2 linked regions of the Caenorhabditis elegans genome follow. The protein of the gene in region 2 interacts with the protein of the main gene of each other region in a pairwise test. Each region holds a gene or a part of one and is shown on either strand. Other genes may lie near its edges.

Region 1 (3,752 bases), on a different chromosome or scaffold from region 2:
CTCCCCTTTTCGTATCTCCCCTTTTCGTATCTCCCCTTTTCGCAGATCCCCTTTTTGCAGATCCCCTTTTCGTTCTGCTCCCCTTTTCGTGGGGCCTCTTCCAACAGAAATAAACGTTATTTTCAGATAAATCCACTAAATTTTAATGAAAAATATAGGCTCATTTTGCACAATTCCTTGATCGCACCTTAAGTCTCTGAAGAATTTCTCTCAACGTCAAGCTCTTCTTTTCGCTGATAAAAGTGGTGGGCGGAAGAAGGAATTCTCGGTCCAAATCACGTTCTCCAAGTCCGTAGAACGAGAGTTCAAGCTCCGGTGGAATCGTGTCATCCAAATCGGCACTGTTTATTCCGAGTGGATCGAGATCTGCGATATTGTGACCACGAGTCTGATAACTGCGGATGAGGAGCTGGATTTTCAAGTGATCCGAGATCGATTGAACAGATGCATTCGTATCGAGGCGAGTGGCCGGGGCAGATCTGGAACAGTTTTCGAGATTAAAATTAGAAAATTTACGGTGAATTTTATATTTTTTCTAATAAAATTTTTAAAGAACGCAAAAAACGAAGCTTTTCACACTAGTTTCGGCATTTATTGAATGTATCGAATTTGCAATTTTTTCTCGCTACAGTAATCTTAAAGGCGCACTGGGCAAATTTTTTTGCTTAAAACTACCAATTTTCTAATGAGACTTTATTAAAAATCTCCAAAAAACTTTCATGATGATTCAAAATTTCAAAAAAAAGTTGTTTTGATAAAAACTGTTCACGGGAGCCTTTGAGATTACTGTAGTGAATATTCTGAAATTTTCCCTTTGAAAAACAGTTTTTTCAAAGAAAAATTCCAAGGTTGTTGACTTCAATTCTCGTTTAGATGTTTATCATCATCACAATCAGAACAAAAAAAACGAACGAGGTCGTGACTTGAGCAGCTGCTGGTGAAACTCCAAGAGCTCCAGCGTAGGCAGTTGCTGGTGGAGCCTGAAAAGCTTGTCCTGGTCCGGCTCCGGCCTCGACATTGCGGAAGTACGCATCCCATGAAGTGTGTACTGATGATGGATCCTGAAGCCAAGCTTCGTACATTTGCTCAATGTAGATGGATGAGGATCCATTTAGGAATGGTTCATGCTTGACGGCGGCGGCCACTGACTGATTGCGGTGCTGGAAAATTTTGGAATTAATATGATATCCAGGCGTGAAATTTTTACTCAAAATACGGTACCTAGGGTCTCACCACGACAAATTTCTGTTAAATGCGAAAATGTGTGCGCCTTTAAAGAGTACTGTAATTTAAAAATGAGGGATTTCAATCGATTTTTTATATTTCACCGAAAAAATATTTTGAAAAATCGATGAATATTTCACATTTAACGCAAGTCGGACTTTTCGCATTTAATTAAAGAAAACTTTCCTGTCGAGACTTTAGATACCTTATTTTTGGAGCACAAACCGGGAAAAATTGTTTTGAAATACTCTTCTCAAATTAATTTAACCAATTTTTTCGAATTTTTTGTCACTACCTGAACAAGTGTCGAAGCAGAAATGTGGCTCTTTCCGGATGAAGCATTTCTGATGGCATTGATGCGACTGGGGGACGCAAGACGACATATAAGACTCGCCCGATGCATGGTTGGGGGGCCAAGTTTCCCGGGTTACTGAAGAAACAAGAAAATAATAAAACTGTTTTCTTTTTTTTAAATCAATGATCAAAAAATAGTGTTTAGAAAAAGGAAAGTCACGCGGAAAATGACATCAACATTTTTTTTTGACGGCGTTGAATTGGAGGGTAAATATGTTTTAACGATGATGATTAACGGTTTCGGATATTTTGAATTTATAAACCCAAAATGTGCTCAAATGAACGAATTTTGTTAATGGCAGTTCAAAATTTCGAAAATTTCAAGCTATGTTTAGCTAAGATCTTAAATTTTGCAAGAAAAAAATATCTGTTAGTCATTTTTTGCATTATTTTGAACAGAGACCACTAATCACAATTCTGTCTTATCACACCGAAAAATGTGGAAAAAGATGGAAATTTTGCATACGGAGCTTTCACTATCACTTAAATAATTACCTTCTGTTTGATAGACGTCTCAGGAATGAAAATGAAAAGTTTGGGAAAAAATGAGAGAAATTTGATTTGGACGGACGAATTTTTTTAAAAATTTTTTAATTCATTTAATTTTTTAATATTTATTTAAATATGATTTTAGTGCATTTCGTTCTGAATTTTTTAGTGAGGACTAAATACAATGAACTCAAAAAACTGAATTTCATAACGAGACTTTAAAAAATCGCTCAAAAAATAAATGACGGTTTTTGCTTAAAAATGTTTTGTTAGCTAAAAACCCACAACTTCGTCATTTTTTCTGTGTCCAAATTAGATTCAAATGCAACTAAATTATCGAAAACCCGTGAGAAAAACAATCCAAATATGCAGAAAATAGGACAATAATCAAATTAAAATCACTTTCTGAATTCTGCGAAACGGAAAAGGTGGCGAAATTGGAGGTTTTAGATTTAAAAAAAACCAAGCTATATTCAAGAATTTTTTAACCTCCATAAAAGTTTCGTTCTGAAATTCAGCTTTTTTGGGGCCATAAAACAACAATTTTGATCTGTTAGTCATCATTTAACATCACAAAATGTTCTTTTTTTCATCACCACTTAAATCGAAAGTATTTCCGAAGAACTGGTTTTTGTTTTGCTTTTATTGGGCGAAAACCTATAAACAAAAAAAAACAAGAGGATAACTTTCCGTTGTGCAAAATAAAGCTGTCAAAAAAGAAGAAGCTGCATAAGGAAATTGAGGAGCAGACACAACAAATTGAGAGTATTCAAAAAAAACGAAGAGAGGAGAGAAAAAGAGTGGACATACACACCGCCCGTGTTCAAGATCATCTCATCATCGAACGATCCACAGGAGGGTGATTAAGCACAGAACTTCACACAGTTCGCCCGGGGGTTTACCCCTTCTCTCATGCCTCTCGGCGTCTCGTCAATGTTTCATAACACTCTCACGGGCGGCTCGCTTTCGAGGGGCGCCCAGCAGCACCAATCGGCCAAAGACAGAGAGAGAGAGAGATAGAGAGATGGAGGGAAAAAGAGAGAAAAAACCAGAGAATATGACGCATTTCGGTGGAGGAGTAGGAGGAGTAGGAGAAAAAGAAACTGATGAACACAGGCTGCGCGGATACGCGTATATACACACATATACAAACTACTTTTGTATTAGAAATATGTTCTACTTATGAAGCATCACAGAACCTACAAAAATATCAGTTTGATTCTTTAATTTGAAGATGAAGTAAAATGATTGGAAATTTGGTTTTAAAAATTTCAAGAACATCTCAAAAAATGGTGTCATCGGAGAATGTTTCGACTTTTCTGGAATATTGAAAATCTAATTTTTTTTAGTTAATTAACATTAAAATACAATTTTTAACGAAGTTTGTTTGAATTGATAAAAAGAAAAACACTAAGATAACATATGTATTCGTCCAAAAAATGTTAAGATATTTTTTTGAAAAATCTGAATCATTAGATTTCAGTGAAAAATTGAAAAATCGACACCCTCAGACCCAAATTCAGAAAAATCACGATAGAGAAACAAAAAAAAACCGGAATTATGGAAAATCCAAATTCTTTTTGATTTTTCAATTTTGGTTAAATTCTCGTCAATGTGAGATATTCAACAAATCAGAGATTTGCGCCGCCCACTTTTCCACTAATCAGAGGGTTGAAGTAGCCGGA
Region 2 (3,752 bases):
TTACAATTGTTCAAGGTAAAATATGAATTTGTTGTTTTATTCAACGTAGACCTAATATTAAGCCAGTTACCATAAGCACTCAAAAAATAAACAAGGCGCGCTACGACACTCCGCACCCCTCAACGATTTTCGAATCAAAATTTTTTCTCGTCTCGTTTCTCTAGGGGGTTTCAGAACATTTCAAGTCTTGAAAGCGAGATTGATTTTTTGTTTTTAAACAGAAAATTAGTTGTTTCCATTAATTTTTCAATTTTTCGTTCTGAAAATGGCCGACAAGAAGGTAGGTAGGCAGAGCCCACCAATGGAAGTCGACGATATTGTTTTTCTCGTTGTTTTATCGATTATCTTCTATTCTTTTGTTTTCAGGACTACGCAGCTATCGCCGAAATCGAAAAGCAAATTGCCGATAATGCGGCAAATTTCGAAAAGTGGAAAAATGCTAACGCGTCAGTCGAATATATATTTTATTCACATAATTTCTCAATATTTTCAGGTTGCAAAGAGGATCTGCCGACTATAATGCAGGAGTGACACGATTCACCGACTGGGATCGTGATCTACGAACAAGGCTCGCATCTCATCAAGGAATAAATGTCGAATCAGGCCCGAAAAGCATCGATGCAGTCCTTGGAGAGTTGCTGGATAAAGTAGATGGTGCTGGCTTTGCACAAGCAATTCAAATTGCAAACTCCGCTGATCCTACATTTTGGCCAACATTACAACAGGAATTTCACAATTTTAAAGGTAAATAGTTTGAGTTTCCATTTGAAAATAATTGGCGTCATGTTTCAGCAAATCCACCACAGCCTGTATATCAAATGCCTCGATCTCAATATTACCCAAGTTTTGGTGAGTTGCATAGAATATTTTCTTCATTTTATAATTATTTTATTACAGCCTCGAGTCCATACGGTTATGCAGCTCCACAAGTTACATCAAACGTTCCTGTCTATCGGCCTGTTTTGCCAACAATTATCACACTTCCGAAAGCAGTCTCACCAGTCCGAGACTTCCAAAAGAAAACCGGAGCGCCATTCCGAGATTTCAGCGTGTAAACTGAACTAATCAATTCATCCTCGTTTTCTATTCACTATTTCTATACTTCACTTTTGAACTGTGCCGTCGTTATGTTTCTCAAATTCGAAAATCACAAATAAACATTTTCTAATCACACATCGATCTTCTGCTTATCAACTAGCCAGTGGTACAATGTTAAACTGGTTTTCGATATCTTTGATTCTGCAACATTCAAATGGGCAAACCCACGTGTTATATCGAATTGTGTGTGTTTATCAGAAATGCAACAGAAAAAATACAATTTCTACAGAAAATTGAAAAAATCAAAGTGAAAATTTGTGTATACTTTATTTTTATGATTAATTGCACTGCAAAATATGTCATGCGATTCATAATCTACGTATTTTTCATGTTATTGATATTCCGAAAAATATCCCGAAAAACTCTGATCCAACGAAAAGCGTGCGGTGGCGTTGCGAAAAACGCGCGCGCGCGTTGCAGACCAGCGCCCGTCCGACCACGCCCACTTCTCGAATTGTTGCATTAAAATTCCTTGATATTTTTGAATGAGGAGTTATTTAGAACATATTTCAATTGTTTTGCGCAAAAAATATTAATACGCTATTTTTCAGGGTAACCGAAAATGCTCGGGCGACGTGCAGTATCAGTTCATCGGTTTCTTTCCAGAGCCGCGAGACAAGTGAGCATTTCTCATTTATTTTTTAGTTAAAAAAAATACGTATTCCGTTTTCCAGAGCGTAACTGCTGCCTCTTCTGCACAGCCAAGCCTCCAAGGTAGGAAGTTTACACGTTTTATATTAAAATAATCGAATTTCTTCCAGCTAAGACCAGTTTGTTGGAACCACTCGTTCAAAATGTGAGAATTACATCTTCAGCCAACTTCCACATGAGTGCAGTAAGAAGTGAGTTTTAAATGAAAAATACTTTTCAAAAATCTCATATTCAAATCACAGTGAGCGATGTTATTACCGTCGAAGGACCAGCTTTTGCTGAATCAATTTCGGAAGGAGATATTAGATGGCTAAAGCAGAAGGGAGATCATGTTAACGAAGACGAACTTGTCGCTGAGATTGAGACGGATAAAACTTCGGTTGAAGTACCAGCTCCACAAGCCGGAACAATTGTCGAGTTTCTCGTGGAAGATGGAGCTAAAGTGACAGCCAAGCAAAAGCTTTATAAACTTCAGCCAGGAGCAGGCGGAGGCTCGTCTGTGAGTTAATTTTTGTACAGCTTAGTGACTGAATTATAATATTTGTTTTTTTTTCAGTCAGCGCCAGCTAAAGAAGAACCAAAATCAGCGCCAGCCAAAGAAGAATCAAAACCAGCTCCAGCCAAGGAAGATTCGAAGCCAGCTGTGACTGCCGCTGCCCCACCAAAGCCAGTTTCTGGGGATATTCCAAAATCTGCTCCACCAGTTGCTCGCCCACCATCAACACCATCATCTTCCACTCCAGTCGGAGCCGTCCCAGTCACTCGTGTCGTTGTTCCAAAGGGAGTTGATCCATCCCACGCAATCACCGGAGCCCGTGATGAAGTCCGCGTTAAAGCCAACAGAATGCGCATGCGCATTGCTCAAAGACTGAAGGATGCTCAGAATACTTATGCTATGCTTACTACCTTCAATGAGATTGATATGAGGTTTTTTGTTGTTTTCTGGGTTTTTAAAAAAAGTTTTCGTGTTTTTGCAGCAGCCTCATCGAAATGAGAAAGACTTATCAGAAGGATTTTGTTGCCAAGCACGGAGTTAAGCTCGGAATGATGTCTCCATTTGTCCGCGCTGCCGCCTACGCTCTTCAAGAATCTCCAGTTGTTAACGCCGTTCTCGATGAAAACGAAATTGTCTACCGTCACTTTGTCGATATCTCCGTTGCTGTTGCTACACCGAAAGGACTCGTTGTTCCAGTCTTGAGAAATGTCGAGAGCATGAATTATGCTCAAATCGAATTGGAACTTGCCAATCTCGGAGTGAAGGCTCGTGACGGAAAGCTGGCTGTTGAAGATATGGAGGGAGGAACCTTCACGATTTCTAACGGTGGAGTCTTCGGATCCATGTTCGGAACCCCAATCATCAATCCACCACAAAGTGCAATTTTGGGAATGCACGGAGTGTTTGATCGTGTTGTTCCAGTCAACGGAAAGGCAAGTTTTCATTTTTATTCCAATTACTGATAGAAATTATCAAATTCGAATTTCAAAATGTTTAAATTTAACTAAAATGATTATAATACTGAAAATATATAGAAACAAAAACGTATGATTCATAAAAATTTGTTCAATTTTCAGCCAGAGATCCGACCAATCATGCAAATCGCTTTGACCTACGACCACAGATTGATCGATGGAAGAGAGGCAGTCACCTTCCTCAAGAAGATCAAGACCGCCGTCGAGGATCCACGAATCATGTTCATGAATCTTTAAATCTTAAATCTTTATCGCCCCTTTTTTTCTAAATTCTTTTTTCTATGCCTCCTTGGTCATGCTTTCACAAAATTTTTAATTTTTCGTTTGAACGTTTAGTAATCAACCGTAAATCATAGGTACGATGTATCGTCTAGCTTGTCATTCACCCCTTATGTTCGACTGTCCCTTATTATCCGAGTTTTCTTGTTCAAAAGCTAGTATTGATTATTAAAAAAATAAAAACCAAATATTTCACTTCTTCATCAGTCTTTAATCACACAAATTTGGCAATCATTACTTTTGATTTCGATATT

The links. The genes of interacting proteins can lie anywhere in the genome.
Region 1: the proteins of dlst-1 (region 2) and ogdh-1 interact in a two-hybrid assay, tested with the Caenorhabditis elegans proteins (one large-scale study listed by BioGRID).

Annotation. Positions count from the first base shown.
Region 1 is NC_003282.8:4,702,358-4,706,109, forward strand, and holds the start of ogdh-1 (2-oxoglutarate dehydrogenase, mitochondrial), read right to left. Parts: upstream 1,637-3,752; 5' UTR 1,628-1,636; coding exon 1,520-1,627; intron 1,161-1,519; coding exon 913-1,160; intron 480-912; coding exon 188-479; intron 1-187. UniProt on the Caenorhabditis elegans protein: The 2-oxoglutarate dehydrogenase complex catalyzes the overall conversion of 2-oxoglutarate to succinyl-CoA and CO(2).
Region 2 is NC_003283.11:6,706,999-6,710,750, reverse strand, and holds dlst-1 (Dihydrolipoyllysine-residue succinyltransferase component of 2-oxoglutarate dehydrogenase complex, mitochondrial), read left to right. Parts: upstream 1-1,649; 5' UTR 1,650-1,660; coding exon 1,661-1,717; intron 1,718-1,772; coding exon 1,773-1,812; intron 1,813-1,859; coding exon 1,860-1,940; intron 1,941-1,991; coding exon 1,992-2,248; intron 2,249-2,305; coding exon 2,306-2,676; intron 2,677-2,726; coding exon 2,727-3,177; intron 3,178-3,321; coding exon 3,322-3,456; 3' UTR 3,457-3,695; downstream 3,696-3,752. Other genes in the region: sna-1 (Small Nuclear RNA (snRNA) Associated protein), read left to right, coding at 266-280, 367-446, 494-744, 793-849, 898-1,055.